Linked DNA regions of Rattus norvegicus. The protein of the gene in region 3 purifies or fractionates together with the protein of the main gene of each other region. This does not show direct contact. Links are inferred from orthologs where the notes say so. Each region holds a gene or a part of one and is shown on either strand. Other genes may lie near its edges.

Region 1 (4,101 bases), on a different chromosome or scaffold from region 3:
TCCTGAAAATATTTAAGAGTACTTTTAAAATTCCAATAGTTCTCTAGAACAACAAAAATTCAAGCTGCTTTGATCTGGGACTTGTGGTAGATACACTGTTTTTTAGGGGTGGGAGCAGTCTAGAAGCACTAGCAATTTAAACATGTCCATAAAAATCATTGTGAGTTGAAACATTACAGCCAAATAACCATCTTTTACTGAATTGAGTTTGGTTGGAACAGACAAACATATAATTTTCAAAACTGTAACATTTTATATAGATTAAGTTTGGTTTTGTCTTTTTTTTTTTTATTCTAAGACGAATAAAGGGGCAATGTCCAACACAGACCTCTGGGGCTACCGTTAGCCCACCTGGCTTACAGCCTGGGTAGCCCCATGGTCTGACAGCAGAAACCTTCAGATCTGAACAGTGAGATCGCAGCCCAGACCCCAGCTCAGCTTCAGGGCTATGAGTGACGCATGTTGTTTCCTACACACGTTTGCCTCATTCTTTCTTTCTTTCTTTTTGTTTTAATCATTTTAATTTAAGTATCTGGACAAGGCTCTTTCTTTTTTTAAAAAATAATTTTTAATTTAAGTATCTGTACAAGGCTCTTTCTTTTTTTAAAAAAATCATTTTTAATTTAAGTATCTGTACAAAGCAAACTTTGCTCTTGATCAAGAGGGTGACACAGACAGGAAGTGCAGAGTCAGCACTCCTAGTCCTTGTGAGAGGAACCATGATGTTATCACCATTGTTTTATTGAAAGTAGGTCAAGAAAACCTAACTGCGTCCATCTTAGAAGTGTACCTGCCATGTTATTCATTAGTCTTCTGAGTTTAAGATTTGTTTATTTTATATATATATATATATATATATATATATATATATATATATATATATATATATATATGCTGTCCCTGTCTTCATGCACATCAGAAGAGGGTGTCAGATCCCTTTACAGAGGTTGTGAGCCACCATGTGGTTGCTGGGATTTGAACTCAGGACCTCTGGAAGAGCAGTCAGTGCTCTTAACCGCTGAGCCATCTCTCCAGCCCCACTTCTTTTCTTTCCTCTCCTCTCTTCTCCATCCTTCTCTTCTGTTTTTCTTATCATTTGTCAGAAACTGGCTTCATTTTCTTAGTTAACAACAGAGTAATCACATAAATAAATAAATCTTAAAAAAAAAAAGAAGGAAGGAAGCGAAAGGACAGGGAAGGAGAGGAGAAAAGACAAATTCAGGAATCATTTTCTGAAGCGTTATACGATTTTATTTTCTTCATAATCATTTTTCATGGGAAAGGATCTGTGCTGATAGCAGCTGAGAGGTGAAGCTCTGCGTCTTCTGTTGTAGCTCATTTCCTTTGCTTTCTCCTTCAGGAAGATGGGAAATAGAGGAGCTGAAGGAAAACCAGGTGCCTGGTGACAGAGGGCTGGTTCTGAAGTCTAAGGCCAAGCACCATGCGATATCTGCTGTCCTCGAGAAACCCTTTATTTTTGCCGATAAACCTTTGATAGTTCAGTAAGTTTTAAGACTTTTTCATTTGCATTAGCCTGCTATAATTTGCCATCTGAATGTATGTTAGGTTTTGGTGCTGTGTTCTCTCTCTCTCTCTCTCTCTCTCTCTCTCTCTCACACACACACACACACACACACACACACACACACACCACATCACACACATACACACACACACACACCCACCCTTTCCCTTTCCAGGTTCATAGACAAACACATGTAAATATAACCACACCCCGGGCTTTGGGGGGCAAACAGGTTAGTGATAAACATTTGTGTGTGTGTGTGTGTGAGTGTGTGTGTGTGTGTGTGTCAGTGATAAACTTTTACATCGCGTCTCCTATAGGCACAATTCTGGCTCTGTAAAAGGTGGCACGCTAAATGCACGCTCTTATATCAGTTGTTCTAGTTCCATGCTGTTAAGATAGTAACCTTGGGATATACAGAGTAGAGCTAGAAGGCAGGAAATTGGTTTCAGCAGGGAAATGTGTCCTCAGGCCAATGTCCTTGAAGTGTGGAGCTCTTTTTAAAGCCCTGATGCTGTCTGAAATCTCTTCCCCTTGCACTGACTTCAGCCCTGTGTGGTCTACAGCTCCAAGGTCAGGTAGAAATTCCCTACGTGCTCTCACCTACAAAACTCGAAGCCAAGGTGAGGCTCTGAAAGCCACTCTGTGTTCAATCACAGAGGAAAGGACTGAGCATCGTTCCTGCTCACAGGCTGCCTTGGATTGGAAACTCTCCCGGGTCAGTCTGTCCTTCAGAACAGCCGCAGGACCCACAAGCCTGCAGACTCTGGCTCTCTGCCAGTACCGTGAGGAGAGCTACTTCCTGGGTTTGTTGTCCCATTTCGGTAGCCATCCAGTCCTAGGTCAAGACAAGGAGGGTTTGCCTGTTACACGAACTAATTAAAGTAGCATTAGCTACATTGGTACTGCTTATTATTAAGATTTGGTCTGAGTTTTGTTTTCCTTTATAATTGTTTTCTTTTTCCTCCCCCCCCACCATCCCCCGTGGTGTTTGTGTGCAATTATGTGTTTGGGTGTGCAGTTGTGTGTTTATGTGTGTGTGTGTGGGGGGGGGTGGTCTGAGGTCGATGCTGGAAATCATCCTTGACCCACCATATTGACAGACACCGTCTCTCTGTGGTGTGGCTGCTCTCTCCAGTCAGCACTATGAATCCCCTACCTCTGCCTTCTGAGGCTGGCTACTATGTTCACCCAGCATTTACATGGGTTCTGGGCATCTGAACATCTGATGCTTGTGTGTCAAGCACTTTCACTACTGAGCCATCCCCACCGCCCTTCCTTGAGAACTGGAAAGTAGCCGCACTAGTCTCCTAATCGTTAGGCACACAACATCACTCTGTGAGTGCCCCGTTCATTCAAAAAGGGCTGTGAAGAAAACCAAGACAAACTTCAAGTTTTCAGGAGTAAGATAAATGTCATCAGTTTTCAGGGAGAATCACTTTTTTAAAAAAATGTCTTGCCAGATAAGAAGCAAACAAGAAAATACATCTAAAAATTTCTCAAATAACTATGAAATTATGGGGCTGGAGAGATGGCTCAGCGGTTAAGAGCACTGACTCCTCTTCCAGAGGTCCTGAGTTCAAATCCCAGCAACCACATGGTGGCTCACAACCATCTGTAATGATATCTGATGCCCTCTTCTGGTGTGTCTGAAGGCATCTACAGTGTAGTTATATATAATAAATAAATCTTTAAAAAAAAACTATGAAATTATTATTTTGAAAAAATAAAGAGGATCGAGAACTGAACAGCCACCAAATGGGCTAACATGTTACATTAAATGCTTTTAGTGGCACACGGCTTTTGCTGAATTTTGGTGTCTTTTCCCTTCCATGGCCACGTCAATTCGTGTTTGAGCGCGCCTGACCTGAAGTCTGAAATGCTTTGAAATTTGGAACATTTTTTTTAATCTCCATGATTACTACTTCAACTAACAACAGTTTTGTGCTACATTTTCTGTACAATATTTGTTTCAAACCTTAATTTCACACATGAACTCTCTGTGTGGTGTTTTTCATTTAATATAGGTGTTACAGTCAGTGTGGGATGCAGCCTAACATTTCTGCCTTTTTTTTTTTTTCTTTTCTTTTTTTCGGAGCTGGGGACCGAACCCAGGGCCTTGCGCTTGCTAGGCAAGCACTCTACCACTGAGCTAAATCCCCAACCCCCATTTCTGGCTCTTTAAACATTTGTCAAGTCCTTGTCCTGAGACCCTGTCTTCTGGTCCTTTCTTTTTTTTTTTTTTTTTTTTTTTTTTGGTTCTTTTTTTCCGGAGCTGGGCACCGAACCCAGGGCCTTGTGCTTCCTAGGCAAGCGTTCTACCACTGAGCTAAATCCCCAGCCCCATTCTGGTCCTTTCTAGGACGTAAGTTATTGTAGTTGCAGGGGGCCATAGAACTTCCTTCTTTCTGAGTGTATTTTGGTCCCTGGTCTTTCTCCTCCCTCTTTTCTTCCTCTCTCTTTTGATTCCAAACCACCAATAGCTCCTTTTCACTTCTATTAAATCAATATTTTCCTTCCAAAAAGGAACGAGAGTGGGTGGAATGTGTCTTGGGTGATTTTGCCGGAGTATCTTA
Region 2 (3,255 bases), on a different chromosome or scaffold from region 3:
TTACCCAGCCTCACACCCGTCCTCAGCCTTTACATTGAAGCATTACATTTATGAACGCCAACTTGCATAATTAAGTTTTGGGTTTTGTGGCCTTAACTTCTAGCTATACAGAGTTCTTTCACTTTCAAATATCCTGCCTTGTTTAGCACAGACCTGTGTACCTCTGTGTAAATGTGGCATGCCTGTGTCTGTGTGTGTGCACACATGCACGCCTGCATGTGTCTACTGAAGGAATAAAAACCTAAAGAACCTGGGTGTTTGCAGAGTAAAAAATTACAAAACTTGACAGAAACAAGAACTGCTGGTATGGATGGATCTGATTTCCAAAAGTAGACCTCTTTGGTCTACAATGTTAATAATAAAAAGGTAGTGGGAAACTGTTTTAAAAACTTTTATGAAATATTCCAAAAGGCTTTTTTGATAAATTATTATTATTAAAAGCACCAAACCCAAACATCTTGTGTAGTATCACTCAATAGTGGCTTAATAAGTTTTTATGACATATGAACATAAACTTTTTGTTTAAGACAAAGAATACTGAAGAGGAACAGGTGTTGTGAATCAGGATAAGAAGGCCATTTGCTCTAGTTAATACATAAGAGATATATTGCAATAAATTTAAATATTCTTCTGTGGTACATATACATGTTATATTAATTAAAAGAACTGTTTACACCAAGATGTCAGAGATATCAGGAGTTCTTTGGGTACTGTAAAACATGACACAATAGTGAAATTGCTATTTAAGCAGAAAAAAATTTGTTTATAGTATCTATTAATACTAAAATAGGATATAATAAAAAATTATTATCAATATGTTTATTTTCAAATTGCCTGACAGTGTCCTTTTAAGAAATCTGACAATTTATATATAGGTAACATACATTTGAATTTCATGTTCATGACTGAAAATATTACTTGCACAATAACAACAACAGTAGCTTTTCACTGAAGTGCTCTGCAATTTACATTAAAGCTTTGCAGTAAGACACAAATCCATTGTACTGTTCATTCCTTAAATTATATAGCATGTTATGTGCCTTATACTTATATAAAGAATTAACAATAAAAAAGGAGAAATACAATCACAAACATGGGCTGTTGTAGCTGTCATTCTAAATGCTAGTTTATACTGAGTTCTACTTTATTTTTGAACCCAAGAAACTTTATCTTTAAATAAAATCCGGAGATAAAATGAAGTTTACAGTGTAAGCATAGAGCCCCCCCCCCCCAATCATTTCCCATACCATTTCCCCTCAGTATCTAGGGAAATAAACTATGGGGCAAGGGCAGCTGCTTGTGCTGCATAAGTGCATCCTTGCTGCCTGGAGCACCCACAGCACGGTCAGAACACACTCTGAAAGACAGCACTGGCCAATAACAAGCTTTCTTAAGTGGCTTATTCCTTGGAGAAAAGAAAAAGATACTAAGCTCAGACTGTTTATTTTTTCTTCCTCCTTAATCCTCTTTTTCTCTAACATACAATGGTGATATTAAAGCACTTTTTGAAATGCTCACTAGTAACTTTCCAACAACACAGGGGAACTGGGTTAATTTATACAGTTAATATAAACAAATGACCAGTGTAGATACTAGGGTGAGGTCCTAGGATTTGTTACACGGAGAGCTAAACTTGCAAGAGATCTCATGGCAAAAGTAGACACTTTGTGGCATATCCCAGCTTTTGAAATATAGTTAGAAGCTAAACGAAACAGCCTTTCAGCACCAAAGGTATTGAAGTGCCCAGGAAGCACCTTCTCCACAAGACCTCTGTCCACCAACTCTATGAGACGTTCACAAGTTCCAACATAGTCACTGATCCTGCTGTATGGGAGCCAGTCAATCAGTGATCCATCATACACGACGTCACCACTGAAGAGTACCTTGCGGTCTTTATCATGTAAGCAAATACTGCCTCTGGAGTGACCTGGCATGTGCATAACAGTGAGCTGTCTGTCGCCAAGGTTGATCACATCCCCTAAAATAGAAACAGAAGTTACCAATAAATACCTGACAGGCTACTTGATGTTAATCATTGACAAAAGCAGAGGAGCATTAAAGGGTTTCAAGGAAACTTGAAGACAACATTAGCTTTATTTTCATGTTATGTTTCTCTCCTCTCTCTCTCTCTCTCTCTCTCTCTCTCTCTCTCTCTGTGTGTGTGTCTGTGGTGTGTATGTGTGCCATGTGCTGTGTATGTATGTGTATAAGTGTGTGTGTGGTATGCGTGTATGGTGTGCATGTGTGTGCATATGTGGTATGTCTGTATGTGTGGGATGTGTGTGGGCATGTGTGTGTATGGTGTGTGTGTGTGTGTGTATGTATGTATGGTGTGTGTGGTGTGTGTGTGTGGTGTGTGTGTTTGTGGTGCGTGTGTGTGTGTGGTGTGTGGTGTGTGTGTGGTGTGTGTGGTGTGTGCGTGGTGTGCGTGGTGTGTGTGGTGTGCGTGGTGTGCGTGTGTGTGGTGTGTGTGTGTGGTATGTGGTGTGTGTGTGTGGTATGTGGTGTGTGTGTGTGTTTGTGGTGTGTGTGTGGTGTGTGGTGTGTGTTTGTGGTGTGTGTGTGTGTGTGTGTGTGTGTGGTGTGTTTGTGGTTGTGTGTGTGTGTATGTGTGTGTGCGCGCGTATGTGTGAAACTGGGGAACTGCCACAACTCAAAGTCAGCTTGGGCAACAGTGACTTTCAAGTTACCCTGAGCTACAGAGTGAGAGTCTACCTCAAAAAAGACCAAAATAGATCAATAAATAACAAAAACAAGAGAAAAGTAACCAGAGTACAGAAGACCAAAACACATTGATTAATTTAATATAACTGTCACATAAGAAACACTTTATACACAGAGAGATAGCTTTTTAAAATTATATTTGCCTATAATGCTAATACATAAGACAAATTTCAATAAATTTAAAGGAATAAAATGCAAAATATACCTTCTGACCACAATATAACTAAAATATTATTAGAAATAGCACAATTAGAAATAAGAAGCAGGGGTTGGGGATTTAGCTCAGTGGTAGAGCACTTGCCTAGCAAACGCAAGGCCCTGGGTTCGGTCCCCAGCTCCGAAAAAAAAAGAAAAAAAAAAAAAAGAAAGAAGAAGCAGATAATTTAGAGTGCATCTTAAATAACAAAAACATTAGAAAATTAAAGAGACAGCACGTATGCATATGGGAAATAACCACAGAGGCCAGCACCATACTTCTCCCCAGCTTAGGACAGCAAAAAGGAAGTAGGAAGGATCCTGGGTTGAAGTAAT
Region 3 (4,577 bases):
AGATAACTTTTTAATAAACAAATAGCATTTTTCTTCAGTTTTCTGAACATTTGATATATGTCATCACAATCCCATCTAGTCTACAGCTGGATTTGGGAGTTAGGAACACGAATATTCTATAACCCGTCGTCATTTCTGCTGAGAAAGTGGGACAAGCTGTGGAATGCCAAGTCAATCCCAGGATTGCCTCCCAGACAACCACTCTTGCATGTCGTGTTTTTCAAGTGATATGCTTGTTCCCTCATAGAATATTACCGCTAAGGCACTATTCATTCTCGTTTTAGAAGTGTTAGCAAAGGCCATCAGCAATCCTGTGTTTTCCTACTTGAGACACCAGATAGCAAAGAACAAACATTTTCAGGGTTGTCCAAAGTCCTATTTGATTAAAAAAAATACTGTTTGTGTCTTGTAAGACTAAGTAAGGAAAAAGACTTTTCTGACCCTGGGAGCTATAACAGCAACAAGAACAGCTATCATTTACTGAGCATGTATTTACTCGGGACTCAAGGACTAGGCTGAAAGCAGTTCTCATAATTCATTCCCAATACACAGATAAGAGTAGAGATGAGCAGGGCCTTGCTAAGATCATGAAGAGTTACTGGCACAGTATAACAGAAATCTGGGGCTGACTCTCAAGGGCTGTGCAGCTTCAGGCCTTAGTCTGTTTTCTCCTGGCCCAAATGTTGAGAATGGTTTTTACATTTCTTTTTAAAGGCATAAAGATAGAAAATTTAAATGTATGTGTACTGTGTGTGGACACATGTTTTGCTTACATGTATGTTGGTGTACCATGTGTGTGTGCTGCCCATAGTGCCTGGAACTGGAGTTATAGATGGCTCTGAGCCACAGTGTTGGGGCCAGTGCCTTTACCCACTGATCCTTCTCTTTAAGTCCTGGTTTCTTACATTTTAAAAAGTTTGCAGAAGAAAAAAAACAGAATAAAATGTAATATACATGACCCTTACAATCAACAGTCTTAACTATCGAGCCCTTTAAAAATGCCAATCCTGGTCTAAAGCCTTGTACCGCTACCATATCTCTCAATAGGAAAGAGATTATCTATGATCAGTTCTTTATTTTAACAATATAAGGCTCATTTGCATTTAACCAAAGTTCAAATGTTGTTATATCCTTTCTATGGTTTGTCTTTACTTCGTAAAGTTCCTACATGTCTATAGTTCCTGTACATAATATAATAAACTAACCAGCTTACGCTTGCTGAAGATAGTAGACAAGTCAATACAGTGTCGCATGGAGAAATTGGACAAGATATAGCTTGTATGTGACCAATTAGACTTAAGGGGCACTACAAATTGAGTGTCATCTTTAACATTCTAGTCCCCATGCTTAGAGTTTCTTACCTTAATGGAAAGGGAGCCTCAGTCCATGCATTTTCCTCAGGCCTACAACTACCTTTTATTGCCACCCTTGATGTGCATGCACATTCTAGAAGTCTGGATTTACTGGAAGTGGGTGGGAGCTGCATGGGAAAATGCCTTTTAGCTCCAAGCCTTCGTATACCTGTCTTCAAGTCTCAGAAACAGACCTTAACAAGCTTAATAATTCAGGGCTGTAGCAAATGAAGATAATCTTCACACATGCACTGTACAAATGGATTGTCTGTCTACCCTCATCTCTTAGGCCATGCCCTCCTAGGCAGATAGGAGACTGTCAGCAAGATCTTTTCCCCTCACAAGACTGGAGAAATGGCGCAAAGACTTCTAAGCCCATGGTTTGGGTTTTGTCTCCTCTCCTCTGCCCCGCCCCCATGTATCATCTGTCCCTCCCCCAACACACAGATAATCTCAAAAGAAAGCACAGTAAGACTGAAGAACCAAAATCATTTACACAGCAATCTGATCAATAACCCCATGCCAACAGCAAGTCACCCCTATCCATATCCGTGAAGGTTCTTAATTACTACTTGGTTGACCAGTTCTCATCAGATGGTAAGTAAGATGCTGCTGGAAGAACCCTAACTCTTCCTAGTCCTCACTTTCCTACACCTGAATCGGAAGGGTCAACCCTAAGGCTCCCTGTCAGGTATTATTGGTATAGTATAATAAATTAGAACGGCATTTAAAATGCCCTAAACATTCTGTAGCCTACTTCAGGATTTTAGTTTGTGTGGGTTCCACTGGAGTAAGATTATCATCTGCGCCTAGAAAGGCGGCATAGCAAAAGCTGGGCAAGAAGTAAAAGGTCGACTCTGCTTCCAAATGAATGCCAGATGCTGGCAGCACAGCTACTACTGCAGCTTCACCGAACCTTAACCAAACTGACACCCCAGAGACGGAGATTGCAAAGATGTCTTCCCCGCCCCCAGCCCCATCCCGTCCACCGCACCCGACTCCCGTTCCCATCCTCTACACCCACCCGTCCTGGTCCCCAGCTTGGAAGGCAGGGAAGGGGCAACAGGGAGCAGAGGAAAAGGGGGTGGGGTCGGAGGCGAAAAGAGCAAGGAGAGCCAGAGAAAATGGGGAGGCGAGGCTGAGAACGAGGTAGGAAAAATGGGGGGCGTAGCAGAAATAGAGGGGGGTGAGGCAGAAACGGAGGACGATTTAAGGCGAGGCAGAAATTGAAATGAGAAGGGGGGCAGAATGTAGGCCGAGGAGGACCAGGACAGGAGGCGAAGCAACCAGCAGGCAGAGAAAAGGACAGTGCCAGCTAGGGGACAGGGGTCCGAGACACTTGCCATAAATCATAGCAAGGCCGGTTTCGTGCAGGAAGCGGGCCCGGCGGTGCTTGAAAAGCCAGATCGTCAGAATGGTGAGGGTGAGCAGCAGGATGAAGATGAGCAGGTTGGCGCTGTCCTGCCGATGGCTCTCCTCCGCCTGCTTCTCGGACACGATCTCCTCGTCCATGGCTCTGGTCGTTCCCCCAGAGCTGTCCAGAGCCCCGGCCCAGCCAAAGAAGCTCACTGCGAAGAGCAACCAGAGGGGCCGCATAAGCAGACGCGCCCGGGGCCCGCAGACGCCACGGCGAACGGGCGCCAGCCGCCAGCCGCGCCGAGCCACAGCCATGTCTTCCCCCCCACCCCCCTGTCCCCCGCCCCTCTCCTCACCCGCAGCCGCCCGTGGTCGGACCACTCCCCGTGGGCTCACGGGAAAGGGGCGGGGCTGCAGCCGAGCCGGCGGTGCAGGCACCGCCCAGCAGGGCCTCCACTCTTAAAGTGCCCGCCGCCTCTACTCCCGCCCGCGCGTCCCCATTCTTCGGCTTGTCTGCCCACCTACAGGCACGCCTAGAGCTCAAGCTCAGTCCCAAAGTGAAAACTTAATGAATCTAACCCACTGTTTTCCGCTGAAGAAACATGGGGCCAGTGTAATCAGACGCAGGTTGCGCTCTCTGCTTGGGTTCTATTCTGACAGCTGGGAGGGGGCAGAAATCGATCTTCAAAACCCATCTGGATATCATCCCCCAGTGTCTCTTAACAGCATATGAAGTTGTCCCCAAGGGAGTGGCCTCAATCTCCAGCTCTGTAATTTAAATCGGGATCCCCTTATTCTGCCCTTATTGGGGAAGTAACACTGTAAGAGTTCATAAAGGAACTCACACAAAGGCATGGATCATGTATGTATCTGTATAATTGGGTTTTCTCTGAATGTCAATGCTTAATATATGTCATTCACCACCAGGAATGAATACATAGGTTCATCAGCCTTGCAAAGAATAGGCAACCAAGTTTGTGCTCAAATTTACCTTTCCTCAGAAACCTTGGGGAAGAAATCTTTGCTGGTGCAGGGTGCTTCCCTCCCCTGTTTTCTTTTTATTGTTACTTTAAGGCAAATGGCACCAGTTCTGTCACATTTGACTCCCTACCTGTCATTTCTCTTTCCCTCAAAGAGTAATCTCTGCATATCCCTCTAGACCTCACAAGGCAAGATTTTTCACAGCTCACCTCCATAGCTGAGCTATGTTTGGGAACTTTTTCAAAAACTCCCATACTTGCAGGCTCGCTCCTTTAGTGACCTGGGCTTCTTTTTATCTAGACTTTCACTTCTACATGAATAAGCTACAAGTCTCAAGCCCTGCCTGCCACTGTGCCTTAAGGCCTCTACTGTTGGGTATTGAGAATATCCTCCAAATTAGCTGATTCTATCCCCTCCGAATAGACATCCTTCCTCAAAGCGTTCATGATGGCAGTAGGACGAGTATCTATCCCAGCCCTGCCACTTTGGATATAACTTACATTGTGAAACCTTTTCATCTCAGGACCGCATCACCCAAGAACAACTACAAACAACCCTGGTGTGGATGCCTCTGTGTTAACAAAACTGCTTAAGCACTGGGAGGATAGCGAACTTCAGGGAAATCAAACAACTCTAGAAAGGTTGTTCTGTGTGACTGGCCAGGAATTTTTCCCATCAATAATGGCCCATTTCTTCCTGTTAGTAGCTGGAACTGTGTATCTTCCCAAGAAGATCATGGCCACCTGCCTCCTTTCCTGTGCTTCCTGTCTAACTGTACTTCCCTGTTCACATAGGGCTGGGCACCTTACCTTATACAGGCAAGTAACCCAGACAAGGAACATGCCTGGAGTTCCCAGTGTGGTCTCTTCAAACCCAGCTGGAACACAC

Evidence for each region. Proteins that work in one complex are often made in the same cells at the same time.
Region 1: the proteins of Slc9a6 (region 3) and Clgn purify together in Homo sapiens (co-immunoprecipitation; 3 studies listed by BioGRID and IntAct, with this or other methods). This does not show direct contact. The link is inferred for Rattus norvegicus from reciprocal best matches to the Homo sapiens genes SLC9A6 and CLGN.
Region 2: the proteins of Slc9a6 (region 3) and Mblac2 purify together in Homo sapiens (co-immunoprecipitation; 3 studies listed by BioGRID and IntAct, counting the BioPlex papers as one, with this or other methods). This does not show direct contact. The link is inferred for Rattus norvegicus from reciprocal best matches to the Homo sapiens genes SLC9A6 and MBLAC2.

The regions. Positions count from the first base shown.
Region 1 is NC_086037.1:41,619,411-41,623,511, reverse strand, and holds part of Clgn (calmegin precursor), read left to right. Parts: intron 1-1,360; coding exon 1,361-1,502; intron 1,503-4,101. UniProt on the Homo sapiens protein: Functions during spermatogenesis as a chaperone for a range of client proteins that are important for sperm adhesion onto the egg zona pellucida and for subsequent penetration of the zona pellucida.
Region 2 is NC_086020.1:13,762,062-13,765,316, reverse strand, and holds the end of Mblac2 (acyl-coenzyme A thioesterase MBLAC2), read right to left. Parts: intron 1,979-3,255; coding exon 1,593-1,978; 3' UTR 759-1,592; downstream 1-758. UniProt on the Homo sapiens protein: Acyl-CoA thioesterases are a group of enzymes that catalyze the hydrolysis of acyl-CoAs to the free fatty acid and coenzyme A (CoASH), providing the potential to regulate intracellular levels of acyl-CoAs, free fatty acids and CoASH.
Region 3 is NC_086039.1:139,466,564-139,471,140, reverse strand, and holds the start of Slc9a6 (sodium/hydrogen exchanger 6), read right to left. Parts: upstream 3,097-4,577; 5' UTR 3,065-3,096; intron 3,045-3,064; exon of another isoform or gene 3,024-3,044; coding exon of another isoform or gene 2,865-3,023; coding exon 2,696-2,864; intron 1-2,695. UniProt on the Homo sapiens protein: Endosomal Na(+), K(+)/H(+) antiporter. Mediates the electroneutral exchange of endosomal luminal H(+) for a cytosolic Na(+) or K(+).